Linked DNA regions of Notamacropus eugenii. The protein of the gene in region 1 purifies or fractionates together with the protein of each later gene. This does not show direct contact. Links are inferred from orthologs where the notes say so. Each region holds a gene or a part of one and is shown in the gene's direction. Other genes may lie near its edges.

Evidence for each region.
Region 2: the proteins of BSG (region 1) and GNPAT purify together in Homo sapiens (affinity purification with mass spectrometry; 3 studies listed by BioGRID and IntAct, counting the BioPlex papers as one, with this or other methods). This does not show direct contact. The link is inferred for Notamacropus eugenii from reciprocal best matches to the Homo sapiens genes BSG and GNPAT.
Region 3: the proteins of BSG (region 1) and SYMPK purify together in Homo sapiens (co-immunoprecipitation; 3 studies listed by BioGRID and IntAct, counting the BioPlex papers as one, with this or other methods). This does not show direct contact. The link is inferred for Notamacropus eugenii from reciprocal best matches to the Homo sapiens genes BSG and SYMPK.
Region 4: the proteins of BSG (region 1) and ATP2B4 purify together in Homo sapiens (affinity purification with mass spectrometry; 3 studies listed by BioGRID and IntAct, counting the BioPlex papers as one, with this or other methods). This does not show direct contact. The link is inferred for Notamacropus eugenii from reciprocal best matches to the Homo sapiens genes BSG and ATP2B4.

Annotation. Positions count from the first base shown.
Region 1 is NC_092875.1:69,278,287-69,286,779, forward strand, and holds the start of BSG (basigin), read left to right. Parts: upstream 1-5,262; 5' UTR 5,263-5,379; coding exon 5,380-5,446; intron 5,447-8,493.
Region 2 is NC_092873.1:386,515,285-386,522,755, reverse strand, and holds the start of GNPAT (dihydroxyacetone phosphate acyltransferase), read left to right. Parts: upstream 1-3,975; 5' UTR 3,976-4,255; coding exon 4,256-4,345; intron 4,346-4,908; coding exon of another isoform or gene 4,909-4,996; exon of another isoform or gene 4,997-5,328; coding exon of another isoform or gene 5,329-5,415; intron 5,416-7,471. Other genes in the region: FSAF1 (40S small subunit processome assembly factor 1), read right to left, coding at 4,909-4,996. UniProt on the Homo sapiens protein: Dihydroxyacetonephosphate acyltransferase catalyzing the first step in the biosynthesis of plasmalogens, a subset of phospholipids that differ from other glycerolipids by having an alkyl chain attached through a vinyl ether linkage at the sn-1 position of the glycerol backbone, and which unique physical properties have an impact on various aspects of cell signaling and membrane biology.
Region 3 is NC_092876.1:27,829,231-27,837,340, reverse strand, and holds the start of SYMPK (symplekin), read left to right. Parts: upstream 1-4,631; 5' UTR 4,632-4,725; coding exon 4,726-4,737; intron 4,738-7,364; exon of another isoform or gene 7,365-7,383; intron 7,384-8,110. UniProt on the Homo sapiens protein: Scaffold protein that functions as a component of a multimolecular complex involved in histone mRNA 3'-end processing. Specific component of the tight junction (TJ) plaque, but might not be an exclusively junctional component. May have a house-keeping rule.
Region 4 is NC_092873.1:436,292,460-436,299,822, reverse strand, and holds the start of ATP2B4 (plasma membrane calcium-transporting ATPase 4), read left to right. Parts: upstream 1-4,218; 5' UTR 4,219-4,883; intron 4,884-7,363. UniProt on the Homo sapiens protein: Calcium/calmodulin-regulated and magnesium-dependent enzyme that catalyzes the hydrolysis of ATP coupled with the transport of calcium out of the cell. By regulating sperm cell calcium homeostasis, may play a role in sperm motility.

The DNA of each region.
Region 1 (8,493 bases):
AGGTCATCAAGTTCAACCTGGAGGCCAGCAGGGTCAACTGGAGGCCATCGAGTTCAACTTAGAAGACATCAAATTCAATTGGAAGGCCATCATGTTTAACTTGGAGACCAAAAAATTCAACTATTCAACTTGGAAATCCTCTAGTTCAACACTCAGAGCCAGGATTTAAACCCAAATCCTACACCTAAAGCTAGATGACATAAAGTCTGAATCCTAGCTTTGCCACTTACTGTCTTTGATGCTGTGCAAGTCATTCCCCTTCTCTGAGCTTTAGTTTCCTCATCTATAAAATGGGGCTTGAGAGGCAGATTAGCAGAGTGGACAGAATGCTGGGCTCTCATTCAGGAAGATCTGGGTTCAGCTTCTGACTGGCACATGCTAGCTGTGTTACGCTGGGCGAGTCTTAGTTTCTCAGTGTCCCTAAGCAATTCTTTAGCTATTTAGAGAATTTAAAGAGAAGTAAAGGAATGGAATTCTTTCTCTACATTAAAGAAATCACAAATTTGAACCAAAAAAAATTAAATAAACAAGAGTTATAATCTCTGCCAATTACTCCTATCAAGACAGTTGTGAAGGGAGCCTTCTGTTAACTCCAAAGTGCATGAAACATGAAAGTCCCAGCAGTCCCTCCCATTCCTCTAACGATGTCCATACATTCCCCTTACTTCTCTTTGCTGTTTCCATTTCCTGTGTAAGCTCTGAGGATCCTTATCCCAATTCCCCCTCTCACTGAAAGGTTTCCCCAAAACATGGCTACCTGTTCCTCCTCAGGGCTCTAGGGGTATCCAATTCCAAATCCTCTGACATTCTGAAGTTCCCCAGCTCCTTCCTTGGTGAGGGAGGAGGGAGAGAAGGAGAGAAGAAAGACTACTTTTCTTCCCCACCCCTACTAGTTTCTCCAAGTAATTCTTTCTCTGAGGTAACTATTCTCTTTTCTAATCTGTCAGGCACTTGAATACTAGGTTCTTAATTGGCTTGTTATTTTTATAGAAAACCCAAAGAACCTGACCAAGTTTCTTCAGTACGTCACAACACATTTCATGTTCCATCTAGCTGAACTGCATCGATAAATTGATTGATCGAATGGTTCGTATTTTTGGTTGATTTGATTGAGAAATCTGGTGAGCTCTCACCCTAGTATGTATACTAGGCCATCAGAGGAAACAATTAGCTCTAAATGAAACTGTTGTTTTGAATCCGTCTCTTACAGAGGCTATAGAAACTGTTACTGCCTTTTTAAGAGCATAAGAAGTTAAATGGAACTCTGACAGTATGGTTTTTTGCGGGAGGGGGGGGGGAGGGGGGGGCGGGGACCATGGATTGAAAAAGTCAATTCAGATGTGAAGTACCTCTCCTTAGAGTCAGGAAGAAAGTGCTGAGTGTTTGGTTTGGTTTGGTTTGTGTGTGCAATCCATATGGATCTATGAAATATCAGCTGAGAGAGGTCTGACTGTGTATTTTTTTTCCCTATGGAGTTAGGGAGGTAGTGGGTGTTTCATCGGTGATCCACAACGATCTAGAAAGGAAGGAGGAAGGGAATTAGCATTTACTTAGTGCCTACTATATCTCATCTGATACTCACTGCCACCCTAGGAGGTAAATGCTAATAAAATTATCCTCACTTTACAGTTGAAGAAATTGAGGCAGACAAAAGTTAAGGCTAGAAAGAGATGTTGGGGCCAGGCTGTGAAAGGCTTTATAAACTAACTAAACAGGGAAGTTTACATTTTATCCTAGGGGCAATAGGAAGCCACTGGAATTGATTGAGTAGGAGAGTCACAAGGTCAGATCTGCCCATCTGGAAAATTACTTTAGCAGCAGTTCAGGGGACGGACTGAAATGGAGAAAAACCTGAGTCAGGGAGACCAATTCCGAGGCTGTCATAATAATCTAGGTTGAAGGGGATGAGTGCATGATGTAAGGTAACAGCCTGGCACTGACTGAATATGTGGGGTGAGGGAGAGGGAGGTGTCCGGCATGATGCTGAGGTCACCCACTTGGGAGACTAGAAGGACATCTGTGTTTTTGACAGAAATAGGGAAGTTTAGAAGAGGGGGGAGGGTTTCAGGGAGAGATAATGAGTTCAGTTTTGGACACATTGGGTCAGAAAAGTCTCCTGAATATTCAGTTTGCAGCTGGAGATGCTGAACTGGAGAAGTCAAAGGAAAAAACTCATATCAGGACAGTATGTGAGTCATCTCTGTAGAGGTGATAGTTAAACCCATGGGAGTTGATGAGTTACCAAGAGAAAAATTACAAAGGGAAGAAAGAAGAGCCTGTGATGGAACCCTGGGGAACCCCAATCATTGAGAAGCTTGATCTGAATAAAGATTCAGCATAGGAGCCTGAGAAGGTTGGCCAAACAGGTAGGAGGAGAACCAGGAAGACATAATGTAATGAAAACTTAGGTGAGAGTAATCAGGAGAGGGTAGTCTACGGTGTCAAATGAGTAAGGAGGATGATAGGTGATGAGAAAACTCCATTAGATTTGGCAAATATGAAATTATTAGTGAAGTCAGAAAGGAGAGTCTCAGTTAAGTGATGAGGTATGAAATCAAACTCCCAAGGGTTGAGGAAGGGAGAAGAGGTAGTGTAGACACATCTTTCTAGAGTTTGGCTGAAAAAGTGAGGAGAGATGTAGCTGGTAGCTTGAGAATATGGTAAGGTCTAGTGAGAATTTTTTAAGGATGGCAGAAATTTGAATACATTTGAAGACAGTAAGGAAGAAATAAACAGATAGGAAAAGGTTAAAAATTTGAGAGGGGGGGAGAAGGACTGAAAATGCATCCTGCTGGAGAAGACAGGAGGGGACAGGGTCAAGTGCATATTTAGAGGGGTTGACCTTGTCAAGGAGAAAGACTACCTCTTTGTCTATTTCATTAAATAACAAACAGGGCAGCTAAGTGGTGCAGTGGATAAAGCAGGAGTCAGGAGGACCTGAGTTCAAATCTCACCTCAGATACTTGACATTCACTAGCTGTATGACCTTGGGCAAGTCACTTAACCCCAAATTGCCTCATCCTGGGTCATCTCCAGTCATCCTGATGAATATCTGGTCACTGAATTCAAATGATTCTGGAGGAGAAGTGAGACTGGTGACTTGCACAGCCCTCCCTCACTCAAAACAAAGTCAAGTGCAAATCATGTCATTATTTCTCCGATGGCATGGTCTTCTTCTGCAACAAAGGATAAATGCAAATAACAAACATTTTAGTTATTTAATTTTTTATTTAACTTATTTAATTTCATTTCAGAAACATAGGAGATGATGTCAACAGGTTTTGAGAGGAAGAGAATGGGAGAAGAGAGAACTCATGTTAAATGGCCTTAATTTTCTCAATAAATTAAGAGGCCAGAGTCTTAGTTTTGAGGTTGAAGAGCAGAAGGAGATCTGGGAGGATTGAGGAAGGAGGAGATTGGTTCTGTCGTTAATGAGAGAGGGAATCAATTAGAGAGGAATGAAAAGATTGCCTTGTTTCAGAGAAGGCTCTGTTGAGATTGCAGGACATGAATTAATATTGTGCCCTGTCAGCACAGTTTTGAGACTTCTTGCAATTCATTTAGCAGCTTTGGAAGAAGAAAGGAAAGAGAAGGAGAAGGAAGAGAAGGAAGAGAAGGAAGAAGGGGAGGAAAGAAGATGAGGTTTGGCAAGGGAGGACCAGGAACAGAACTAGGAGATGAAGGATATTCAGATCCTGCCTCAGACACTTACTAGCTGTGTGATCCTGGGCAAGTCACCTAATCCTGACTGCCTCAAAAAAAAACCAACCCTAAAACAGAGAACTGTGTAGAGGTGAAATGTCTAATTGTTAAGTTGAGAATGGAGAAGGAGAAAAGTATTCATGATGGAGGATATAGAAGTCTTGATGAAGTTCAAGAACAGTTGAAGCAGAGGGAGATAGGAAGAAAGGGGGATTCATGAACAGTCAAGCAAAGGAGAGAAGATTTATTAGCAGGGTAACCATGAGGAAACACACAACCTCTCTGGGTCTCAGTTTCTTCATCTTTTTGTTAACTCTACTCAGTTTCCAAGCACTTGTTCTACTCATGATTGCCTGTGTAAAAAGCAGTGGCTTGTTTCATTTTTTAAGTTATTTGATTTAGTTTCAGAAACAGTGGTATGACTGACAACATCTGTAAACAGAGGGACAAAATGATCATCTTGCAGATTTTTCTCTGGAGAAAAAGAAAGTCCGTTAGCTTTGCTTTGTCTAGCAAAAGATTTCCTCTAGGCTGATGTTGCACCTGAAGAGCACACAGGTGACCCTGGACTTGCCTTGCTGATGCCAGGCTAAAAGAGGAGAGAACAGATGCCAATTCAGTTCGAGCCAACAATCATTAAGGGCTCCCTGTGGATCATCTTGGATATATGAGGGTTGTGTATGTGTTCCTCCTTCGCTTTCGAAGACCATGACATCAGGGAAATGATGACTTGACTTGCACTTGACTTTGTTTTGAGCGAGGGAGGGTGGATCCATGAGGGACTCGCTAGCTCAATGAACCTATGAGCTCTGCCACGCAGGGATACCCAGGACGGAGAGGTCATAGCGGAGAGTTTTGGCAATGGCAATCCACTCCTGTAGCTTTTCCAAGAAAACCCCAAGGAGAGGACCAGACAGGGGTGCTGTGGTCCACGCTGTCACGACTGAACAACAAACGGAAAGACAGGACGCCGAGCTGCGTGTAAACAAAGACTGAGCCATGGGTGAGTGTGGTGCAGAGATAGGGCAGGATTTGGAGACGAGAGTCCTGGGTTCGAATGCTGACCTTGCCACTCACTAGCTCTCTGACCTTGGGCTACTCATTCACCCACGCCACGCCTCAGTTCCTTCGTTTGCAAAATAAGGGACTTGAGCTAGATGACCTCTAAATTCTTCTTTAGATCTCTGATTCAGAGGTGAGATCTGAAGGGCTTTAGAAACGAAAGGAAGGTGAAATAAGTGGAGGGTAGCTCAGTTTACTTTGCGGGAGGCCCTAAGCGTGCACAAGCTCACATCTTCTGACCTACAAAGAGCACTCCTCCCGGCCCCGCCCGTGGGCGGGCCCTTCGTCACTTCCCTCTCTCCCTTTCCCACAGGCCCCGCCCAGTCTTCGGAGTCGCGGGCCTACTGGAAGGTGATTGGTTGTTAGAGGCCCGCGGGGAGGGGGAATGCAGGGGTGGGGACGGGGCTACGGGCGCGAGCCCGACGGCGTTCGCGTACCCGGGCTGCGCCTCTCCTTTTCTTCCGTCACCGCGTTGTGCGCGTGCGCTCCCGAGCCTCTCTTCCGCGGGCTCTTATAGCGGCGGCCGGAGCCCTACGCGGATCCAGTGACCGAGCGAGCTACCGAGCCAAGGCGCGGGTCGGCCGCTCGAAGACTTCGGGACCGCGACGCCGCGACATGGGGGCCCCGCTGCTGTGGCTGCTGGCGGCAGTGCTGCTGTGCGCTCGGGCCGCCTCCGGAACCGGTGAGTGGGGCTGGGGCCGCTGGAGGCCCCCGCGGCCCGGGCCCGGGGACCGTTGGGGGTGAGGGGACCCAGGGTGTGCCCGGGGTGGAGGGGTGAGCCATGCGGGCTGAGGAAATGAGGCTCTGGGGGCCCCGCGGGAGGGACACAGGCTGGAGGATTGAAGTTCAAAGGATTGGGGGGGTCGCGGGTTAGGGGCCTCTGAGGTTCAAGGGGTCCCGACGGGAGAGGGGTGCAGACTGGGGGCCTGGGGTCCAAGGGGTCCTGGAGGGGGAGGGGTGCAGACTGGGGGCCTGGGGTCCAAGGGGTCCTGGAGGGGGAGGGGTGCAGACTGGGGGCCTGGAGTTATAGGAGTCCTGGAGGGGGAGGGGTGCAGACTGGGGGCCTGGGGTCCAAGGGGTCCTGGAGGGGGAGGGGTGCAGACTGGGGGCCTGGGGTTCAAGGGGTCCTGGAGGGGGAGGGGTGCAGACTGGGGGCCTGGGGTTCAAAGGGTCCCGGGAAGGGTAGTAGAGGAGCGCAAAAACTAGAGACTTGAGACCCCGAACGCTCGGGAGTGAAGGGCCCCCAACTTGGGGACAGGTAGGGGGAGATGAAGCCTCAAGGTTGAAACGCTGGAGGGGACCTGGTGGGGGAGCTATGACTGAGAAGAGTTGGGGTCCTGGGGGGTCAGGAGGGGGCCTTGTATGGGGGAGGCATGTGAGGCGGGAAGGGTCAGGGACCTCGGGGGGAGCAGCCTCGTGGGGGTCTCGGAGGGGAGAAGGGAAGGATTCTGCCTGGCGCCTGGCTGGTGGGGGTGGAGATGGAAATGAAGTGTGACCCTGTGTCTAGAGGAATGGGGGCGGGGCTTTGGGCCTGCGGAGATGGGGCCTCCCCCGGGTGGGGGACTTTGGGGTTTAGGTAAGGTTGGGGAAACTGTGTTTGAGGACCGAGGCTCCAGGCTCTTAGGGAAGGATGTCTGACTCACAGCCCGTTTAGCAACTCGAGTCTCTGTCACTCCAGGGCTCTTTATATTTTCAACCCCCACAAATGGGGTCTGTTTGTACTCAATTTAGGCCAGAGCTATCTAGCCTTCATGTGACATAGGGTGGGAAATGTTTATGTAAAGGAAGATATCTTTTCCTCCTCTGTTTAGTTCTGGATTAAAGCAATTACAGGCAATAAAAATTTTAGCTACAACGGTTTTGTGGGCTTGATGTTCTGAATTCTGGTGAGAAATTCAGCTTGACTGCCATTTACTGGGGGAAGAGTTTTGCGAAAGGTGAAATAGACTTCATTGTAAGGAATTTTTCCCCCTCTGAAAAGACATAATTTATTTTGTTATGAATGATGGCTAATAATAGGATATATGTGTTGTGCACCCACATGGAAGAGAGAGAAGATTTGGAGTACAGCTATGACCCTTGAGGGTTTTTTCATGAAGTCCTTTTTGGACAACAACTATAAACTGCAAGTATTACTGTCCCTATTTTACAGATGAAGAAAATGTTCCCAAGATGGGGAGCAGTTTGCTCAAGGTCATAGCTAGTAAATGTTGGAACTGGAAAATTTCTGCCTTCCATTTAAATGTTCTTACCATAACACTATACTGAAATTTCTGTATCTCTAGCTATTTTCATTTTAATATTCTCATTATTACTGTGTTTCTGATTTTTTCCCCACTCTGCTCCTTTTCTCTTTTTCATAATTAAAAACTATTTCAATGCTCCCTGCACTAGACACTTGTGAAGAAAGACGAGATCAACAAAAACGTTGAACCTTTATTCCCCTTTATATTGTAGCCCTGGGAAGAAAGAAAAGCTAGAAGAAAAGAAAAAATAGAAGTTTTGCTCTTGTACTGAATTAATTCACTTTTAACTTGTCTTTAGGTCATGCTATTTTTGCCACATGGGTTTGTCTTCAATTAAATTTTATTTTTTCATTTATCAAGCATTTATTCTCCCCTCCCCCATTTCTTCAAGAAAAAGTTTTTATAACCTTGTAACAAGTGAACATAGTCAAGTGAAACAAATTATCCATACTGTCCAGATTTTAAAAATGTGTCTTATTCTGCATATTAGTCCGTCCCATCTCTCTGTCAGGAGGTGGGTAACATTCTTCATGATTGGTTCTCTGGAGTCATGGTAAATCACTGTCTTGAATAGAGTTCTTAAATCTTTCAAAATTGTCTCATGTATAATAATGATGTTATATAGTATAAATTGTTCTCCTAGTTCTTCCCACTTCACTCTACATCACTTCATATGAGTCTTTGAAGGTTTTTCCAAAACTATCTCTTCATTTCTTACAGCCCAGCAGTGTGCCATTATGTGAACATAATAATTTATTCAGCCATTCCCCAGTTGGTGGCCACTCCTGAATTTCCAGCTTTTTGCCACTACCAAAAACTGCTGTAAATATTTCCTATTTCTTTAGTTTCTTTAAATGACTCATTTTGTGCCATAGACAAGTTTGGTTGCATACTCAGGAAAAAGCAAAATAATTATTATTCCATTAGGATATTTTTCTCCCTGTGATTTGGTTCATCTGCTTTCTATTCTTCTCCTCACCTAAGGGAAAATTGACATTTAGTCCACTTAATTTGGGGGGAGAGAGGAAGGAGAGCTGTTCTCTTGCTGTAGTCAGATTGCTTGAATCAGTTTGATTTTTCTTGTAGTAGTTGAGATACCAAAGAAGAAGATTTCTTGACCCAGATTATACATCTTGGCTTTGTTTGTTCGTTTCTTGCCCTAATCTTGGAATGTAGCCAACTCCTAGTTTTCTTTAGGTGAATTATCTGCCTTATCTACAAAGAACTATAGAGTAAAAACCTAGAGGGGATCTTAGATGTCATTTTTGTCCAAACAGACCCCCTTGCTGGCTATTCTCGTGGCTTTAGTTGCCAGGTTCTTCCACATGGTTTCACATCTCTCATTCCTTTCTGCCATGGGAGCTCCAGAATGGGGTTGCTAATAAAGGTTATTTTTAAAGCTTTCTTTATCCTCATATCTGTCTCCCTTACTATAGTAGTAGTGGATTATCTAGGAAGGAGCCCAGTATTGTATCTGAAAGCT
Region 2 (7,471 bases), on another chromosome or scaffold:
CAGAAGTAACAGAAAGTCTGAAGTCAAGAAGATAGAAGGATAAACTAACAAAAAAAATCCATAATGACTTATTATGGTGATAAGAAATTTCAAAACACAAACCCAAAAGAAAAAAGATGACTCAAAAACATCTATAAACAAAGCCTCGGAGAAAAATACATTTTGAACAAAGGTCCAACAAGAATTCCTACAAGCTTTTTAAATTTTAAAAAACACCTAAAAGTGATTTTAAAGGAAAAGTTAAATGAATTATATGTAGAAATAAACAGTAAAACCATAATAGTGAGGGACCTTAATTTACCCCCTCTCAGACTTAGATAAGTCTAATTTAAAACAAAAACAAAACCAAAAAGAAATAAAGGACCAGAATAGAATTTTAGAAAAATTAGGTTACTAGACTCCTGGAAAATACTGAATGGCAAAAGAAAGGAGTATATCTATTTCTCAGCAGTATATGGCACTATTATTTTTAAAAATGAGTATATATTTGGGCATAAAAACCTTACAAAGGTATAAATGAAGAAATATTCCATGCATCTTTTACTGATCAAAATGTTCTAGAGCTTTAAACAGAATTTATATTGTCCTGCAAGGTATGACTTCCTGAGAGTGTTACCACTTGCTGTGGTGAATACTGAAGCAGAGGAGTAGTATTTTATTTTAATTAGGGACCATATATATATATATATATATATATATATATATATATATATATATATATATATATATATAAGTGTATATTATATATTATATATTATATTATATATATAAATTACATATATATTTTAAATCTTCTCAGTAAAGACATTTTTATTGGTTTTTTTTGATCCATGAATATCTTATAACACTGCATTCCTAAGCGTGAATCGATACTTATCTGAGTTAGTTGTGGTCTAGAACAACCTTCGGTGATCACTGCTTCCTTTTCTAGACATTAACCAATTATCCCTTTAATAATATGTTCCATTTGGGCTGTGTAACCTGTGATATTTGCATAACCTTTCCAGAACCCAGGCAATTTTCTAAGTCTGTAAATTGGAGAAGAGTTACTGATCATCTGCCTTGGGGGAGGAAGTTTCCTCATAGGAGCTCTCTCTACCTTGAAATCACAAGTCTAAAAAAAGAAAAAAAAAAATATGTTCTATACGTCAAGCTCCCCGGCTTACAGTTTTTAGAATTGATTTTCTTCCCTTAGTTAGAGGTCAGGACAACATTTGCCCTTCCCCAGACCTCTACATTCTCAAGGATCTTTGAAAGAACATTTGACTCAACAATTATATCTAACAGGAATATTAAAATGAAGATTTAGTTCATGTGGGCCTGGTAGCATGAACTCATCGTCTAAGGCTACTACTTTTCCTATTCAACTCCCTGTTAGCCATTTTCTGTTCTTTCCAGTCCCAAGATCATTTTCCCTAGCAGAAAAAAAAAACTAGAAACAACGTAAGGCCTTCCTTTAATATACATCATCACTAGCTTTGATTAGCATGGAAGAGGCCACATATAATCTGGTTGCAATGGGTCAAGTTTATCTAACACTGAAGGCTTATAAATTAACCCGCACTAGCCATTATTTCATTTAATTTCCCACAACAAGTCTGTAAAGAAGTTGCTATCATTATCTCCATTTTACATAGGAGGAAACAGATTCAGAGAGGTCAAGTCACTTGCTCAGGGTCATATACATTGTTTGAGGCAGAATTTGAGGTCTTCTTGACTCCAAGCACCTTATTTATTATGTACTCTGCTTCTTACAGGCAAATATATAATTATACATATATAATATATAAAAACAGTGATGCAAAATTTTGTGCATATTTTTGTACAGTCATTTTTCAATCATGTCCGACTCTCTGTGACCCCATTTGGAGTTTTCTTGGCAAAGACACTGGAATGATTTGCCATTTCCTTCTCTAGCTCATTTTACAAATGTGAAAGTTGAGGTAAACAGTTAAGTGACTTGTCCAGGGTCACACAGCTAGTAAGTATCTGAGTTCAGATTTGAACTGAAGAAAATGAGTCTTCCTGAATCCAGAAAAGGTACACTAAACCTAGGTGCCCCACAAATATATTTATGACTAAACCAATCAACATGTGAAAACATGTTGAAACGTGAAAACAAAAGGACAAGAATAACCTCTTCCAAAATAAATCTGTTGTTTTGTTTTGGTAGCTGCACTTTCTCAGACAGCTTCCAAAATGGGAGGGTAGTGGCATTTACTTCTTGTCAGGAGTGGTGTTATGGTATGGTGTTTGGAGTTGGTACAGACTAAGTATTTCATCATGTTGATAGTTTTTATAAACTAGTTTGGTCCTTCCACAATGTTTCTTCTTGGAGTTATATCTGATCTTTATCTTGGAGTTGCACCTGCCTGTCTTCCTGCAACTCCATTAAAGAATGAAATAATTTTGCTTCTGCTTCTTTGCAAGAAACCTCGTGATCCTGAAATGGACGTGGTGGGCATGGTAAGGAGGTCATTCCTATGCCTTCACCACCATGTTAGGATAAGCCAAAAAAAAGCGTTATTCTTTCAGGACCATATCACACTCTAGTATTCATTCTCTGTTACCTATCTTTGCTTTCATCTTCTGTATATGTCTATTAAAACATCTTGCTTATTGCCCACACTTTGTGCATTTGAAGACCTGAAGCTATGAGCTTTCTTTCTGACATTTTCCTGAGTTTTGTTTTCTGTAAATTTCTGGTCTTTTCCACTTCTGAGACTTCATTGTACATCTTCTCTTATAGGCAACTTTCTAACTCTCCCTTTTCATTTTAAAGTGTTTTTGGTCATATTTCTAAAACTCCAAGAAATACATTTCTACTTGTTTTTGTTAGGTGTTCATTCATCCCTCTGGGCCTGTCATTTCTCTATTTTAAGCCTTGATCCAGAAATCCAGATACCATTGTGAGACACCATTGCCTCACTTTTCTGCTTGCATGGCGGACTAAAAGCTGACAGTAATATCAGAAAATGGTTCTTTTTGTTCAAAAACCTTTTTTGCATTATGAGATTTATTATAATTATATTATAATATGTATACTATAATCTCACTCCTGATCTTCTGCATGCAAAAATTTAACAACTAAACTAAACCTGAGGCACTGGTAAAAACACTTTAACGTCCTATTTTCCCAAATTACAATCATGTTCTTGGTTTAACCTGAGCAAATCTGTTAGTCCCCCAAGGGCCTCCCTCTTCCCTACCTCATAATCAGAAGCTTCTTCTGATTTGTGGGCCTCTAGATTTACCTAGTACTCATGCATTTAAAACACCCAGTTCCCTGATTGTTTAGCACTCCCACTACTGCCTAACTCTCCAAATACTTGCTGAGTGATAGTTCCCACCCCATGTTTGCATATTTTGTAATGTACAGTATTACAGGCATTTATAATATTATAATACATAGTTTTCTCTATTAGACTTTGACCTTCTTAAAATTCTTCAACCTCCAGTCTTCTGCTTCATTTGTAACTGCCCTCTCCCTCCTTCCCCCAAATCCCCAGGACAGAGTGCTCTCCTTGTAACAGGTCCTCAATAAATACTATTGACTTTTTACATAATTACAACACACACATATGTATAATACATATATATATACACAATCATATATACACATATAGACACTCATTCATACACACACACACACACACACACACACAGTAGCCTAATAGCCTGGTCTACCCAGTCTCAAAACAAAACTATTTTCAAAAGAAAAGAGCATTTCCAACATTTTAACCAGTTTTGAAAATGTGCTTGCATCTACACACAAAAAAGGATTGCTGTGAATGAGTACCGTCCGCGGTACGCACAAGAGGGTTTTCCCCTCCCTCGATCTCCCCCTCCCTCCCTCCTAACCATCATTGGCTAAAGAAGGGTGGTGCTACCTTCCCTGAAGTGCCAGGTACAAAATTATATTCCAACCATTTAATAACATGCCCACTGCGATTGCGGAAGACCTTCCGCAGTTTATCTTGGCTAGGAACTTAAGAGGCAGTGACAAGTCGAGCTTAGGAAGCTCTTAGTCTGCTCTGTCCCAGCTCTCCAGCGCTCCTGGGAAGCTCCGGGTCCGGACACCGCAGGCTTCTCAGCCCTGCGCTCGCTCCAGCACGACAAAGAGCTACTCTTTCTCCTGGGCACCGGAGCTGAATCAGACAGGGCTACAGACGGTGAAGACGAGAGACAGTCAGGTAACCCGGGCCAAGCAGGTTTTCAAAGGTCCTTTTTTTTTGTTGGAGCGGCAGAGGAAGGTATGGAGAAGACTGTGACCTTGGCAACTGTATCCCCAAGTTCCCCGCTGCCCACAGCGTCTAAGGGACAGCAGCAATGGCACACAGAACAGGTTGGTTCCAGCTCAATGGGTCAACAGAAGTGGAAGGACGCTGGGTTGGGGGAGGCTCTTTCCAGGGAGAACTAGAACTCACCACTTCTCAATCAGGGAGTGGGGAAGGAAGGGTGGCGGAGGTCAGGTGGTGCTGGAGGAAGGAGAAGTAAAAGCCACTACTACCCAGTGTGCTGGGCAGTGGATGGGGTGATGCGCAGGGAGCTGTTCTGGGAAAAGTAAACCCCACGACTACCCAGTGGGAGGATGGGGTGACAGCAGGGGGCCGGCCTCCCGTTTCTAGGTCAGTTCGTGGGAAAGTACATCAAGCACCCGGCAGGTGTGAAACAGCCCACGCCCCCGGCCTCGCCCGGGGATACAGAGGCTCCGGCAGGTGGGGAAGGGTCACTGGGTGTCCTCTAAAGCACTCCTGCCGGGGCCCAGCTCTACACGTAGGACTGGAAGGAGCTGCCCCTGGCGGAAAGGAGCCAGTGCCGCACGCCCTAAGAAAGTACACCAGTAAAACACCCCGCCGCGCCCCTCCAGCAACCCACGTGGGTGCCGGCCCAGCTCCTCGCTCTCACCGAAGTCGTAGAGGTTGTGCAACAATGTATCCAGGAGAGTCTCAGCGCTGGAACAGTCATCCGGTCCCGGCTTGTCCTCCGCGGCCATTACGGGGTGTACGGCGAGGGGAGAAAAAGGGAAGGGGGGTGTCAAACAAGTACCTTTCACAGCTACGACCCAAAGCTTTTGGTCCTGAGCAATTAATAATGAGACCCCGCCGACTTCCGCGTTTCCGGGGCCGGGCCTGGGCTCGCGCTTTGGCTCATCGCGGCTTCCGTCCGGGCCAAGATGGCGGCGCCCGGGGCCTCTAAGAGCGTCTGCCGCGGGTGCCGCCGCCCCAGGCGAGGTCGGGCCGCCGAGCGCGGGTCAGCCGCTGTCAGCGCCACCCTTCCCGCTTAGCTGGCAAGCCCCGGTGTGTCCCGGAGGGCTGCAGCGGGACCATGGCAGCGGCTCGATCATCCGAATGCTTTGTCGCCGTCGCTTCCACCTCTACCTCCACGGTCGCCACCCCAGCACCCCTCTATTCGGTAGGCTCCGGGGCCGGGGCGAGGAGTCGGGCCGGCCGAGAGCCGCTGGGCTCTGCTTCCCTGTCCCAGCCCGGACCGGGTCGGAGTCGAGGTGGGGGAGGGGGTCCTGGTTTCCTAGGCGACAGAGCTGGGGAGGGAGTGGTCACGGACCAACCCCCAGGGTCTCGGTGCCTGCTCTTCCTCCCGCTCCTGGCCGACTACTCTCCACGCTTCCAGGGCGTGGGGAAGGGAGTGACCCCGACCCGGAGAAAGCACTTTCTCACTTTCCTCGGAACGGGGCGGCGTGGCTCGGGGGCGTGGGACGAGGGAGGGCCGTCGTGTGGCAGCCCCGGGGTGTTAGTGGTGTGCGTCCCACCCGGGGAAAAGAAAGCGCGCCCCCTGCCCTTCGGATCTGCCCCGGAGCTGTAGCCACCCAGCCCTTCGCCACGCGTGTTTATTTTCCTGGAAGACATTCTCTCCAGCCGACAAATCGTCGGGTTTAGGTGGGGTTGGAATTCGGGGGATTTATCTGGCTTTGAGCTTGACTGTACTCTAGAAGGACTTAGAAATCTGTAGAAATTTTGATCTCCGCTTTCTGCCTTCTGACACTTTGTAGTGCTGGACAGGAACAGCTGACGTCACTGAGCTTTTTTTTTTAATATCCCCTTGTCTGTCAGTTACTCATTTCTTCCCTCCCCCATCCCCTCCCAGCCTGGTTTATCAGAATTGTCTGCTTCAGCGCTTCCCTTCCAGCAGTGTTGATCTCAAAATTTACTTGAAGAAGTCAAGAGGTAGAAGCAGTCTTGTCTTCCAGATTGCATAATCATGCGATTAGAAGCATGTTGAAACCGCCGGGCTTTTTTTTTTTTTTTTTGACCAGTGTTTTAATTTTTAACCACTTCTGGAGGAAACAAAAAATTCTTTTAAGGAGCATGTGAATACTACTCGTTGACTTAGAAATTCATTTAAAAGTACAAAAAAGAAAACACGTGTAGGCAGTATCAAAAAAAATTTTTTTTCAAATGAGACTTTTCGTCTAATATTGGAGCATCCATATAACATCCATTGCATTGGGTGTATTCTTAGATTTGTACCTTTTTTAAAAAATTAATTTGTTTCCAGTTTTCAACAGTCGCTTCCATAAGTATTAAATTTTCTCTCCCTCCCTCCCTGAGACGGCATGCAATCTTACATGGGTTCTTTGTAGCTTTTAATATATGAAAAAATAAGGAAGGAAAATTATTAGGTACGTCCTTTTCAGCATCTGCAATCTAAGTAAGACTTAGGTTCATACCTGGCAGCAAGTGCCATCTAGTCAGCTTCTGAGGTATGTCATACTTCCCTTTTCTTTATTTCTTATTGGCCTATTCTCTGACTCTTGATTTATACTCGAAATATTACAACTCCACTCTTCCAATAGGCTTAACTCCTTGAATACCTTCTCTACTAATTCTTTCCCCCCTTCATTTATATCTTTTTGTCCCCATCTGGGTTTCTTTAGTCCAAAAACAGTCATCCATATCTATGAAGGAACAAAGGACTCCTGGTAGGTAAGACTCTGTTCAGGTCTGCTTTTTCTACCATTTTCTGTTGTAGCTGTCTGAACTGCATAAATGTTCAGTTCTTTAAATTTTCTCTGTACCTTCTCATTTAAATGCTAAGATTTGTTCAAAAGACTTTTTTTGTGTAAAAGAATGACAGCTACAACTCTTGTTTTCCTTTGTTAGTTCTTTGCAATTTCACCTATTTTCTTGTCAACTTCAAGCTCTCCTAATTTTTCAAATTTCATCAGGAAATGATTGCTTTAGGAGAGTCATTTATGTATAATAAATATATGCAGATACACGTGTGTGATGCTTTTTGTTGATTTAATTAAAAAAATATTGAACACCTACTATGTGATGAATTAGGTATTATCCAGTTAAAAAAAGAAATATGACCCATCCTCCCATCTAAGGATGTATAAATTAAGTTGGAAGATTGTATTTATACTTAAAATTATTAGCAACACTATGTAATCAAGTGGTAGATTCACAAAGGAGTTCAAAGAATCAGAGAAGGAAGACATTAATGTGAT
Region 3 (8,110 bases), on another chromosome or scaffold:
CAAAGTATCTGATTAAATGTGGACAGTAAGAGTTGGGAAGTGGAGATTAATTTGATTCAATGAGTCTAGGGACTTTTAAGACAAGTCGAGGAACTATAAATATTCTCCACTCATACAGCCTCTGTCCCATTTCAGGCTTTCGATACCTCTTGCATAGATTATTGTAATGGCCTCCTAATTAGTCTCCCTGCCTCTAAACTTTTTCTTCTCTTTTGTTTCTCTTTCATCCTCCACACAGATGCCAAAATGATATTACTAAAACATAGGTCCGACCATGTAATTCTCAATCAGAAATCTTCAGTCGATCCCCGTTTGTTCTCCTCAGCCTGGCATTCATTGCCCTTCAAAATCTGTCTCCTACCTACCTTTGCAGTATTATTTCATATTATGTCCCTTCATTCATTCTCCTTTCCAGTCAATGGGCCACTAGCTGTTTCCCATATTTAAGTTAATATGGTTTATTGAAGATATAATTTTTCCACAGAAGACTCATTTAGTTGCATGGCAGAAATTTTTGTATGTTGTTTCATCATTAGCATTGCTTTTCTCATTATTCTTTCTGATTTCTTCTTTGACTCACCCATTCATTATCATGTCTCTAGTGAATTCCGTATCTATTGTTCATGATTCCCAAACTGATAATTATTTTTTATTGTGCTATGATCTGTAAAGGATGTGTTTACTATTTCTATCTTTTCCCATTTATTTACACTATTACACTTCCTTAATATAGTCAATTTTTGTACAAATTTCTTGTGGTGTTGAGATATATGGATTTTCTTTAGCCGTCACTTTCAGAAGATGCCATATCTTTCGGCTTTAATTTTTCTGGAAATTTGTTTAATTCTATAAATTTTTTTCATTTTTCTATGTAATATTTATCCAAATACCAGAGACTTTAAGGTCTCACCATTGCTGTGTTACTATCTAAATCTTCTTACAATTTAGTTAACTTTTCCTTTGTGAGGTTAGATGCTATACCATTTGCTACATGTCAGTTTAAAACTGAGGTTGGTTTGTTGTCTGTGGTTCCTATAGCATAATGTACCTTGCTTTTTTATCTCTATATATATTGTGGATTTTTGTTTTTCCTTTATCTGAGCAACTCCTTCTTTTTGGATTCACCAATTCATAGTAAACTTTGTTTCAGCCTCTACATATTCTGCATGTCTTTGCTTTAGACATGTTTCTTATGAACAACAGATTGCGGTGCTCTGTTATCCAATCTGTTACTCTTTCATTTTATTGGATTGTTTAGTCTGTCTACATTTAAAGTTATAAAAGATTTTCTGTTTTCTTCCATTTGTGTTTCTAGTATTTTTTTTTCCAAAATTAGATTTTTTTTTTTTGTCCCATACATCATATTCCATCTTCCACCTCCATACCTTTGCAAAAGCTGTCCTCTGTGACTGGAAATCCCATGTTTCCTTCAAGTCACAGTTCAGGGGCTACCTCCTACATAAGGTGCCTGATCTCTCTGGTTATCAACATTCTCTTCCTCTTGAAATGACTTTGTGTCTTTTACTTATTTGTATGTATATCACTCCTCTTTACCCCAAGTAGAACACAAACTACTTGAGAGAATCGTTTAACTTTTGTCACTGTGTCCCTGGTGCCTAGCACAGTAGGTGCTGACATAGTGGGTGCTTATAAATGTTGAATTACATGGAAAAACTGGGATAGGTACTCAGAGACAGAGATGAGGAAATTGGAGACAGATATATGACATCAGAGACAGAGATGTGGGCTTAGGGTCAGTGACGGGGCTCAGAACTCACAGACATGAGTTCATAGAACTAGAAATCCAGAGATAGGAAGGAGTTCTCAGACACAGAGACAGAAACAAGGGTTTGAAGACAAAGGAGGAAACTTGAGGATGGGGTGGAATCTTAGATATGGTGATGGGGGCAGAGAGATAGGAATTTCAGTGCCAGAAATTGGGAGTCTGCAGTAAGAGATTCAGAGATGGGGGTTGGGACTCAGAAACAGGGATATCACAGACAGCAATGGAAATTCAGAGACAGAGATGAAAGTCCAGATATGGGAATGGGGACTCTGAAGTGAGGATGGGGGTTCAGTTATGGAAACTAGTCCTTGGAAGCAAGGATGAGGATCAGAGTTGGGAGCATGAAGTCAGAGGCAGAGATGTCGAGTTCCTAGACAGGCACTGGAGCAGAGGTTGAGATGGGTTTGAGTCAAAATAATTTAAGACATGATCAGTAGTGGTCTGGTAAATTTCTGGATACAGCCTCAGAGGAAAGAATCAGGATCCAGGTATGGGAATAAAGGATCAGAGATGGGGATGGAGCTGAGAAAGTGACTCAGGCTCAGAAACTCAAAGGGAGACTTTCATATTGGCCTTATAATTAGTCTCTTCTAATGCATCCTCCATAGTGGTACAATCCTAAAGCACAGATTTGCCTAGGCTCCTCCTCTACTCAAGAATCTTCCATGGCTCTCTCTTACTTCTAAGAAAGCAAAACACACTCCTTAGCTCAGCACATTCACAATCTAACTGCAACCCACCTTTCCAGATATTTTTTCACATTACTCCATTCCAGTTACAATCACCTAGCTCTTTCCCCTCTCACTTCTGGGGTCTTTGCTCAGAGTATGCCATGTTCCTGGTGCACTGTGTGCCATGCCTAGAATACACTACCTCTGCACCTACATAAATTCCTAAGTTACTGACTCTAGGCAAGTCACTTCACCTCTGATTGTCTCACCTGTAAAATAAGAATAACAAAAGCACTTTCCTTGCAAGATTGTTGGGAGACTCAAATATTTGTAAAGTACATAGCAGAGTGCCGGGCATACAGTAGTTGCTGAATAAATGATTATTCCCCTTCCCTTCTCCCTTCAAGGCTCAGCTGCTAGGTGGCCTCCTACAGAATGCTTTTCTTGGCTCCTCCTTCCCAAAGTTTGCCCTCCCACCATCCTCAAAGAATATTTTGGGGTCTGGGCTAGTGACTTCCTCTAGGCAGAGAACTCCTGGTCCTTAATACAGAATGACTCACCTGTAAATTTTATTCTTGTATTTCCTGGGCACCGACTGGTTAAGCACTTGCCTTTAGTGATGAGGCTAGTATATATGTCAGAGACTGGAACCTCAGTATTCCTGATTGCAAAGGTGGGGGTGCCATCCCTCATCTCCCTCCAAACACATAATCATGGGAAATAGCTGAGCTTCCCAAAGCCCCTTTTCTCTCATTTGATCCTTCTAGCCTCCCTTTGGTATAGGTCCCATTTTACAGATGAGGAAACTCAAGATGAGAGGTTAGGGGACTTGTCAAAGGTCACCCCACCAGGAAGCGTGTGAGGAGGGACGTGGACCCACACCTTCCCAATGTCCCCTGGTGGTCTCTCTTAGAATGGAAGCTTCTGGAGGGCAGAGACCGTCATTCTCTCTGTATCTACGTGGGGCTGGTGAGTTAGGGGGTGTGAAGACTTCCCCAAGGCAATGAGTGGATGGGCACCATCCGTTCCAAGGCCATGAAGTCCAGCTCCTGAAGCAGGGGCTGGAAGGCCCCGAGGTCATGCACGGCCTCCCCAGCTTTCCCCAGTCCTGGGGACTCTTGACTCCCTGCGCTTCGCTGACTCTGGAGGAGGGAGGGGAGCCCCTCACTGGGGGCAGCCGGGCCTCGCTGGCCAGCCCAGACCAGAGACGTGCATACGGAGAGCATGGGACCCGGAGTGGGGAAGGCTTGGGTTCAGATTCAGCCACAGACCCGCACCAGCCCCCCGAACCCTAGCAAACCATGTCTCCTCGGGCTGCCTCAGTTTCTTCCACTGTAAAACGGGGCTAAGAGCACAACGCCTCACTGCACTTAGCACAGAGCCCGCGGGCACACAGCAGGCACTTGGTAAAGCTCGCTCCCTCCCCTCCCCCTCCCCCGCAGGAAGCAGCCTGGTACCCAGGTCCTGGATTCCAACACTGCGTCTGCTGCCTGCTCCCTGCAACACCTCCTCTGTATCACCAGGAGGCGCTGGAGCAGCTGGGTCTCAGGGCTTCCCCCGCTCCCAGCACCCGTGTTCACAGAACTTGGGGGCGGGGAGAGATAAAACAGAAAATCACTGGGGGTGGCAGGAACAGCAGAGGCTGGCCAGCAGGTGGTGGCCTCCAGCGAGTGCTCTCCTGGAAGGGGGGACCCCGGGCCATGGACAAGGCCTAAGCAGGGCGTCTGGCGCTCGTGACTCGGAGGGGGCTGGAGCGCGCAGGGAAGGGGTCTCCAGCGGCCCTGGGGGGTCATCCGGCTGGACGCAGCGCCCCGGCCTGTGCAGGACCCGCGACAGCGTCCCGCCTCGCAGCCCGGCCCAGGCCCGGAAGACTCCACTCCCTTCCGCCTCCCATTCCGCTCCACGCTGCTCTCTGCGACCACGAGGAGAGCAGGAGCGCCACCCCCCGGATCTCTCCCTCCCCGGCGCCCTCCTTCCGGAGAACCCACGGAGCGCGGAGAACTCCAATTCCCACAATCCTCAGAGACGCCTCCGGGGCTCCGCGGTGCAATGGCTCTGTTTTCGTAGAGTCTCCTTCCGGCCTTGGGGCATCGGGGCGAGTCTCCCTGGGCGGGGAGGCTACTCTGGACTCCATTTCCCGGCGTCCCTAGCCCTCTCACTGCCTCTGCTTCCTCCTTGGGGGCGCGCACCCTTCCGAAAACTCCATTTCCCGGCGGGCCTCGCAGAGGCCACGCTTGCGCAGAAGGGGCATCGGCAGTCGGCCCGAAGATGGCGACGGCTGTGAGGAGGAGACGCTGCCGAGGGCGGCGTGAGGGGGAAGGAGGAAGAGAGAGGGAAAAGAGGACAGGGGGCGACGAGGGAGAATAGAAGAGGATGGGAGGAGGGCGGCCTCCGCAGGACTCGGACCCCCAGGGGAAAGGAAACCATGATGGGGTGGGGGCAGGGGCGCAGAACCTTGTGGAGGAGCTGCTCATTGGGAAGAGGGGAGCAATGGGCGAGACCATCGTGCGTAGGGGGAGACAGGGACAGTACACTGCGAGGTTGGGGTAGTATGTGTGCGTGGGCACTCTGAGGAGGCTAGAACCCTGGGCAGGTAGAAACAACTAGAGAGAGGGGCGCGATGGGCGAGACCATCGTGCGCGGGGGGGGGGGGGGGCCGGAACGTGAGTGAGCCCCGAAGAGGGACCGTGGAGGTGGAGCCTTTCATGGGGACAGAACATGGGGAAGGGGGCAAGGAAGAGGGGTGTATGAACCCTGAAGACAGATCATGGGGGTGGGGGAGAACCCCAGGGTGAGGGAGGCCACTGGGGAGAATGGGGGGGGGGAAGAACCCTGGGGAGGTAGAGACCATGGAGGAGAATGGGGAGAGAGGAGAACCTTGGGAAGGTAGAGACCATTGGGAAAAATTGGGGGGGAGAACCTTGGGGAGGTAGAGACCATTGGGGATAATGGGGGGGAAGAAGAGAACCTTGGGGTGGTAGAGACCATTGGGGAAAATTGAGGGGGGAAGAGAATCTTACAGAGGTAAAGACCATGGAGTAGAATGGGGGGAGAGGAGAACCTTGGGAAGGTAGAGACCATTGGGGAAAATTGGGGGGGAGACTTTGGGGAGGTAGAGACCATTGGGCAGAATGGGGGGGAAGAGAAACCTAGGGAGGTAAAGACCATGGAGGAGAATGGGGGGGAGAACCCTAGGGAGTAGAGAGAAGGGGAGGGGAGAAGAGACCTCTGAGGAGGTAGAAACCACTGGGGAGAATAGGGGGAGCAGGGAGGATGAGGAGCAAGTGTGAATCTTGAGACTGTTACAGAGGCTTGGGGGCCAGAAAGGAAACCCTGGACTGGTAGAGACCATTAGGCAGAAAACTTTGGGCAGAGTAGGAGGAGGATGGGAGAGAGGGTGAGTGGGGATAGCTCTGGGGCTGCAGGTGCTGCTGGGGAGGTTGATGGGACACATTGGGATTGAGGACGGAGGGAGATGGAGGGAGGAACTGTTTAGCTTGTTGGACTGTCCTAGAGCCCAGTGGAGGAGGAGCGTTGTGGGGGTAACCGGTGGGGTGGGGTGTAGGGAATTTAAGGACTGGGAAAGAAATGGTGAGGTGCTGGGGCAAGGAGCATTAGAGACCCTTGTGGGAGGAGGGAAACTATCCTGGAAGGGGAAAGGGAAGGACATTTTTGTAGCTATCAGTGGGGAGGGCAAGAGAGCACATTTTGTCTGACTCTTTGTAGTGTGACCTTGGGCAAGTCACTTAATCTCCCTCAGCCTTACTTTTATCATTTATGAACCGGGGATCATAGTGCCCATAGCACCTACCTCACAGGGTTGTTGGGAGGACCAAATGAGAAAATGTAGGTGAAGCGCTTTCACACGCTTTAGATGTCAGCTGTTACTAGATTTGGGAAGGAGGGAGACACTAGTGGAAGGAAGGAGAAGAGAGAGCATTGGAAGGGGAGAAGGGAGGAGAGAGCATTGGAAGGGGAGAAGGGAGGAGAGAACATTGGAGGGGGAGAAGGGAGGAGAGAACATTGGAGGGGGAGGGGGGGAGAGATGAAGAATAAGGAAGTCTCATGGATGGGCCTAGATTGCATTCTCAAGGGGAGGAGATATCTTGACTGAGGGAGGTGGGAGGAACCTCTTGTGAAATGGGGGGGGAAGGGTGGGGGGGGTGAACTAAATTCAGTCAGCAGCTGTTCAGTGCCCACTGTTAGGGATCACAAAGATGAACAAAAGCCTGTTCTAAAGGGAACTTAGTGTGATAAGCGACAAGCAGGTCAATAGCAACTAAGTGTTTAAGAGAGGACAGGGTGATCTCAGAGGTCCCTTTTCAGTTCTCTCACATTCTGTAAGACCTTCGAGTACTATATAAACGTGAGCAGCTGTTATTCTGAGGGACCTTAGGTCTCTGGAGTGGAGGTTCTGAGGGTTCTTCCAGTTTGGAGGGCCAGAGGACAGGCGAGGCTGGTCTTGCCTAGCAGACTGTTCTCATGGATAGGAGAAGGGCTGGGATGGAGCTGTCTGCTGTTCCCAAAACTGTGGAGGAGGGGAACAAGTGAGATCATCCATTTTATCTCAAGGCCCTGGCTTGGCCATGGACCTTCGATTTATCCTCTGAATCCCAGGGGACTGAGAGGTTCCCCCAGAAGCCCAAAGTAGAAAAGTTGAGGCAGTTCCAGACTGAGCTCATAGGGGAGATCTCAAGGAACTAGACCCCTGGGCCTCAGTCAGGCAGCCCATTCTGGAAACTTCGATGAGGACATATATTCCTAGATTCATGTAATCCCTGGAATTATCTGGTCCAGCTCTTACAAGAGACATCATAGAATAGTGGGAAGCGTCCTGGATTTGGGATCTGAGTGCTTGGTTTGAATCCTGGCTCAAGCACTTAGTGCTTGGTACAGAGGAAAATCCGAGTTCAAATTTAGCCTCAGGTATCTTCCTAACTGTGACCCTAGGCAAGTCACTTTACCTCTGTTTTGCCTCAGTTTCTTCACCTGTAAAATGGGAGTGATAACAGCACCCACCCCCCCCATGAGAATCAGATGAGACATTTATGCAAAGTTCTTCGGCACATAGCAAGTTCTACAGAGGCTTTTCTTGTCCCTGCCCTGGACCTCTCCCTTGTCCCAGGATGTTTCCATCTTACCCCTCCCAGGACAGCTGACCTCAGGATAGGACAACCAGGATTCACATACTAAGACTGACTCTAGTCGGTCCCATGATTTCTCAGTGCCCTGTGGCACTCTAAAAGAGGAGTTGCCAAGAAAATGCTGCCCTGCGAACATTGACAGACTTTCCCCATGGGGGTTCCCTCTTTCCATCCCCTGCAGTACTCTATTCTTCCTTATGTTGAGCTAAATTCAGCCTCTGCAGCTTTCATCTGCCTGGGTCTTCATATTAGGCCCTTGCTGGAAGGGCTTAAACATTGAGAGAAGTGTGAGGGTGTTGGAGTGTAAAGTCCGGGGACTTTGGGAGGCTAGTGAAGATCTGGCTTGGGGCTGCTGTGGGCTCCTCTGGAATTCACTGAAGGCAGCCCCAGAGCATTCTGCATGGAGTCCTAAGCTTCCATAGTTAATGTCAACCTTCTTGGTTGGATATGTTCATGGGGTCATAGATTTAGAGCTGGGAGGGACTTTAGAGGCCATCTGCTCTGGTCCC
Region 4 (7,363 bases), on another chromosome or scaffold:
TCATCTAGAGGACAGCAGAATGCCAGGAGACAGATACAGACTTGTCTTAGGAATGCTAATAGATACTCTGTTATAATATGAAAGGCTAGGGCATGTCCTTAGCTTTATCCTGTTACTGACATAATCATGCTGTGTGACCCTGGGGAGGTCCCTTGGCTATTCTGTGCACATGCTTTCCCTACTGTCACATGGGAATAATATTAATTTTAAAAACAGTGAAGGTTTGTGAATTCTTTGTAGAAAGCTCTCATTTTACTATATGATCTCACTAATGGGGACACTTTCCATAGAAGTCCATATAAGCCATCGAATCATGTTCTGCTCTTGTCTCCATAAAGCCTTTATAAAGATTTCACTCAGTTTACTAGAGATCTCCCCTAGGTCTTTTCACATTAAAGGTACTGGTGTGGCATTCAATCTGTCCATCTGTTATCTTTGGCTTTCACTACATGACTAATAACATCACCTGGGGACCAGTGTAGCCCTCAGTCTGTCCATCTGTTATCTTTTGCTTTCGCTACATGACTGATAATATTACATGGGTACCAATGGGACTCTGTCCATCTCTTCTCTGCTTTTACTACATGACCAATCTACGTCCTTTTTTGGGCACAATGTTTTTTTGGTTGGTGTCTTCCATGCTACTTATCACACAAAAGTCATCTTTGGTAATAAACTGGAGTCAGCTTCCATCCTCTATCTCCCCATTGCCCTTTGTGCCATGCACAACTGTGACTCTCCTGAGACTGTAGAGTATATGATTCACAATCATATAGCACCCCAACTCCATCTCAGCATGGTTGACCTTTAAGCCCTTTGTGGAAGAAAGAGAGTTGGAAGGATAGTAATGTGGTTTTTTTTTTAATGAGCTTACACATAAGGATATAATTTGGGTTCATCAAAACTGATTTCCCCAATGCTGTTGGCCATTTCCCTCCCACATGTTCGATTTGGACCCTGGCTCATTGTCCACTTGCAGAACCTGTCCAGAATATGTGTAGTGATAGTTTAAATCAGTGAACTTCCCAGCAGTGTGTCATAATCAGGACAATTTCCTTACTGTTCCTCTCACAAGACACTCCATCTCTCAAGTCTGGGCATTTTCATGGACTGTGTCCCATACACATGATGCTCTCCCTTCTCACCTCTGCCTTCTGGCTTCCCTGGTTTCCTTCAAGTCTCAGCAAAAAATCCCACCATCTACAGGAAGATTTTCCTGATCTATCTTAATGTTAAGGCTTTCCTTCTGAGAGTATCTCTAATTTATCCTATAGATGGATAGATGGATGGATGGATGGATGGATGGATGGATGGATGGATGGATGGATGGATAGATAAATAGACAGATAGATAGATAGGTAGATAGATAGATAGATAGATAGATAGATAGATAGATAGATAGATAGATAGATAGATAGGTAGGTAGATAGGTAGGTAGGTAGGCAGATAAATAGATATGGATAGCTATATATTTATATCTATACAGAAGAAATTGGAAATAATCTCAGAGGGAAGGCATATATATGTATCTATCAAGATATAGGTATGTGGATATCTAAATCTATCTATACATACATATCTGTATATCTTACTTGAATGTAGCTGTTTGAATGTTGTCTCTTCTATTAAGACTGTGAGCTCCTTGAGGCCAGCGATCATTTTTTTGGTCTTTCTTTATATCTCCAGTGCTTAACATAGTGCCTGGCATACTGTAGGTGCTCAATAAATACTTGCTGACTTGACAATAGACACTCTTCATCTAAATGTTTTTTTCCTTATAGATTGTTAGACTTTAGTGGTTATGGATCTCATGGAAGAAGCCTTGCCCTATTCTGGAACTTGAGGTTCTCAGTACATTGTCTTCCAATAATGCCAGGAAGAACTCACCATCTTTTTTGTTGTTCAGTCATGCAGTTGTGTCTTACTCCTCAGTCACCCCATGGACCATAGCATACCAAGTTGTTCTCTCCTCTGCTATCTCTTGAAGTCTGTCCAAGTTCACGTTTGTTGTTTCCGTGACACTATCCATCCATCTTATCTTCTGCCATCCCCTTTTCCTTTTGCTTTCATTCTTTCCCAACACCAGGGTGTTTTCCAATGGGTTCCATCTTCTCATTATATGGCCAAATTTACCATCTTTAGAGAATTATTTTTTCATTTGGATTCTACCCAGGACCTCCTATCCTTGTCTTCCATGAAAGTGACAAATACCTCAGTGAGCAATCACCTCCCTGTTGTGTCCCTGGCTCCCTATGGATACTCAGATGACTGTTGAATAAAACTATCTCTGTGGTTACATCTACTAAGGAGTCTTACGTGAGCTTAACATAAAGATGGGAGACCCTTTTAGTAGTCAGCCTTTTTAAGGGGACATTTTGTTCTACCAATCAAATTTTTTAAAAAATAACGAATGTTTTTAAAAACCATTGGGAGCTTATATTCTTTATGTTTGTCAGTAATTGTGTTTATGATCTCATTTTACAGATTATAATTCATAGCTTGTGTTATGTTTTTTTACAAAATGATTTCCTGTCAACAACTTTGTAAGGAGATTACAGAGTAAGAAGTATAATTCCCATTCTCCAGTTAGGAAAGGTAGTGAGATTTGAAATTTACTTTCCCAAGATCACACTTGAAAAGTGACAGTGGTAGTATTAGAATAAAGACCTTCTGCCTTCAATCTCAATATTCTTTCTACATCCTCTACCTCCATTTTCCTTGAGAATCTCGAGAGGACAAATGTGATTGAGGCAAATACTTTAAAAGTTTCCTTTTTAGAGTAAAATGTTCATTATTCATATATGAACCCAAACATTTCCAACTATGGCATCCCTTCCTGAAATACTCATCCTCACTTCTACCTCTTAGAATCTCTTGTATCTTTCAAGACTTAGCTCCAAGACAGTCTTCTGCAGGAGGTCTTATTCATTCTACCAGCTTCCAGAACCTTCCTCTTTGAGATGAACTTCCACCAGCTCTGTTATATATCTTGTATGTTCTGGATTATTTACATATCCTCTCTCCCATTAGAAGGTCAGCTTCTTCTAAGCAGGGCTTGTTTTTTCCTCTCTTTGGGTCCCGCAGTGATTGAAATTACCTGGCACATAGTAAGCACTTAATAAATGCTTGTTGATTGGTTGATTCACTGATTAAGAGAGAAGAAGCACTAGACTAAGGGTCAAAAAACCTGGGTTCTAGTTCATGTTTAATCCTTACCATATATCAGACCTTGAGTGAAACATTTCAACTCTCTGGGCCTCATCTGTAAAATGAGGATAATAATACCTGTGACCACCTCCTTCCAAAGGTTGTGGTGAGGATCACATGAGATAAAGGTTGTGAAAAGGCTTTGTAGATTGTAATGAGCTCAATGGAGGTTTTAAAAAGTGCTGGTTAAATGGAATCTTTACCCCTGCAAACCTTGACTCATTCTCTAGAGTGTTAGTGTCCATCAGCTCAGCTGGAGTTTACATGACATTTTCCCATCTCCATTTTATTATCTTCAAGAAAGACCTGAGTTCAAACCTGCCTCTTATACTTCCTAGTTGGGTGAACTTGGCTAAGTCTTTTAACCAGCCTCAGGTTATGTGCCTCAGTTTCCTTATCTATAAAGCCAAGATAATACTACTACCTCCCTCCCAGCATAAAATGAGTTAGTATATGCAAAGTGCTTTGTGTTCCTTAAAAGCACTAAATAGTTTGTACTATTAGTGGCAGCACTGGGCATAGAGCGCCAGACCTGGAGTCAGGAAGACCCATCTTTCTGAGTTCAAATCTGGTCTCAGACACTTACTAGCTGTGTCACCCTGGGTAAGTCACTTAACTCTATTTGTCTCAGTTTTCTCTTCTATCAATTGAACTGGAGAAGGAAATGCAAACCACTCCAGTATCTCTGCCACAAAAACCACAAAATGGTGTCATGAAGAGTCGGACACAACTGAAAACAACTGGACAACAACAGAAAAACAAAAAAAAAATTGTTATTAATACATCCTTGTGGAGGAAAGAAGAATGCTTATGATAAAAAAAAAGTTAGAGCTGGAAGTAACTTTAGAGATCACCTAGTGTTCTTTAACCCCCTGGTTTTTCCAGAGGAAAAAATTGAAGCCCAGAGAAATGAAATGACTAACCTAGGGATCACACTGGTAGGTAGTAAGTAATAGAAGGTCTGAGTTCAAATTCTACCTCATAGTTGCTGAACCAGAGGTTCCAACCCAGGTCCTTCACTCTGAATTCAGCATGCTAAGCTGGGCCATCTCAGGTCATCCTGATTGGATATCTGGCCACTGGACCCAGATGGCTCTGGAGAAGAAAGTAAGGCTGGTGACTTTGCCCAGCCTGCCCTCCCTCAAATCCAATTCAATGCAAGTCATGTTATCATCTCCCTGATGTCATGGTCCTCTTTGAGAATGAAGGACAAACCACAACAGTATGCTATGAAGGTTTCTCCCCCATATCGTAACTGAGAAAACTGATGCCCACAAATATAAGACAATTTTCCCATGACTAATGAAAGATCTTAGATAAAAGGACTAGAGCAGGCCAATGGCTAGTCACTCAGTCCAGCTCCCTCATTTTACAGGTGAAGAATCTGAGACCCACAGAGTTGTCACAAAGGAAGAATTCTCATTCAGTTCCAAACCCAGTGTTTTTTCCCATTCTACCCTTTCTGGAAGTCAGAATGCCCTGGAAAAAAAAGCCAAAGGACTTCAGCTGTATTGCTCATTCTGCTTTGTGACCTTGGGCAATTTACTTCATTTCTGAATCTCAGTTTCTTAATTTGTCAAATAAGGATACTATCTGCCCAGCCTACCTCACAAATTCATTGTGAGGCTCAAATCAGATCATCTGTAAGAAAGTGCTTTGAAAATGATAAATCCACTGTAAGTATGTAAGGTATTCTTATTCATTATTATACCTTCAATTCAAAGCTGTTGAAATGTCTTAAGCAGGAGAGGATGCAGTTGAAGAATTGGGGCAGGGTGGGGAGGAGTCGGATTGAGACTGGGCATCTCAGAACCTCAACCATCATCCCCACCTGTGAACTGTAGTTCTCAGCTTCAGTGTCCCCATCGGTTTAACTCTTGATAATCAGAGATAGAACTGGAAGAGACCTTCAGAGTCATTTATTCCAAACCCTTCCTTTCCCAAATGAGGAAACTGAGACCTTGAGAGGGGAAGGGGCAGCATTATGTTATTAAACACTTTTCATCATATTTTAGATAAGACTCTCTCCCCAACCCATAGTGATATATGTTGTTTTTCTTTGTTGGTTAGTTGTTTTCAGTCATTTCTGACTCTTTGTGACCCTATTTGGGTGTGTGTGTGTGTGTGTGTGTGTGTGTGTGTGTGTGTGTGTGTGTGTGTGTGTGTGTGTGTGTAACAGAGCAGAATGTCCATTACCACAATGCCTTGAAATACCCAGACTGCCCTGCCTTCTCACATCAGCACTGGATCTAATAAGTGACTAAGGCTGGATGTAAGTGTTAGAGAAGGGGCAGCTACATGGTGCAGTGGATAGAGCAGTGCAGGAGTCAGGAGGACCTGAGTTCATATCTCACCTCAGACACTTCACACTCACTAGCTGTGTGACCTTGGGCAAGTCACTTAACCCCAATTGCCTCATCCTAGGTCATCTCCAGTCATCTGGTCGCTGGATTCAGATGGCTCTGGAGGAGAAGTGAGGCAGGTGACCTGCACAGCCCTCTCTCACTCAAAACAAAGTCAAGTGCACGTCATGTCATCATTTCTCTGATGATATGATCTTCTTCAGCAAAGAATGACAAACACACACACAAGTGTTAGAGATGGAATCTGAATCCACACATGGCTCCCAAGCCAGAGAGGAAGGGGCGAAAGCACTAGGTTTGGGGAATCTTGCCTCTGGTGATGACAGGCTTAGAGAGGATTAAATAGGGGCCCTCCTGGGGCAGAGGTCAGGAGTTCTCCAGGTGTGATTCTGTGAGGCACAGGGGAAGGAGAAAAATGACTTGGTTGGGTGTCAGTGTCGCTAGCCTCAGCTGAGCCCGGGGCAGTGGTTATCTCCTATTCCTATGGGACAGCCAGGCCAGATCTAGCTGATTTGGGTCTACTGTACAGCTGTGGCAGGCCTCCGTGGGATGAAGTCTCTTCCCTCCCTCTGGCTCCTCCTTGGGCTGGAGGCTGTGGGTGGGGATTTGCAGGTCAGAACTCAGCTCTTTCTCCACTCCCACCACCCCCACCCCCACCCTGGGGCTTAGGGTGTGGTTAGAGGAGTGGAGAAGGGGATTGAGCTGGTGGAGGGACTAGATAGTAGAGGAGGGGCCTGGCCTGGGCTTGCTACCAGCTGAGTCCCTCCTGGAGTGGCCAGGAGCCCTGCTTATGCAAGGGCTGACCTATCTGGCCCACTGAGGCAAAGGCACTGGGTGTGGCTGGGGTGACTGGAGAGACAAGCCAAGTTAAGTGATAGCATGTGGAACACAGTTGCAAGAACAGGCTGTAGGCCAGCCGCATGGCGCGGATCTCCCTAGGGGCAGCCAAGTTTTCTGTTTGCACAACAGTGATGGAGGCAATGTGGCACTGCGTTTGGGGACTAAAGGCTGTGGAGCACAAGAGGGGTTTTCCTAGGGCATTTCTCTAGGCCAGAACATTATACATAGTCCGGAGCTTCTTAAACTTTTTTCACTCATGACCCCTTCAGTGCTTCTTAAACTGTGGGTTATGTCTGCCACAGAGCTCTGTAACCCAGGTCTGAAACCTGGATCCACCATCTCCTTGGGCCCTAAACTCCTCGGGCTCACTGTCCTCATCCCTACAAAGTGAGGTGGTAGCCTGGCTAATCCCTAAGGTTCCAACCTTTTACAGATGAGGGAACTGAGGGGAAGGAAATGAAGTGGTTTGACTACCCTCTCCTGCAGCCCTTGCTGGTTCCTTCCCAATAGAATTCTCCCTCCACTCTAGACTGTGCTAATAGGGCTTTGAGCATCTCTTTATGTCCTCAGCACACATCACATTCTGTAATGATATATCCATCTATGTTGTTTGCTCATTTTTGTGGACTCATTACTCCATCTTAAATTATACCAGTTAGATGCCAGAGAAAACAATAATGGAGATCTGGGTTTTTTCATTGAAAATACATTCATTTAGGGCCTCCTGTGTATAGGTTCTGTATTCTGTTTCCCTCTCTTGAACTTATGCCCCAAACCATTTTCCTTCCTGCCCTTCATTCTAAGATTCTAAGGAAGGGAAAGATGATGTCTGATTAGAGTCTTCCTTTATTTGAGAAATACTCACCGGGCAACTTATTTGCCCAAGTTGTGCCAGTGCCCTTTTATTCATTTTCAAGACAAAAAGAAAGGACTTCCCCAGGATCCTCTGTCAC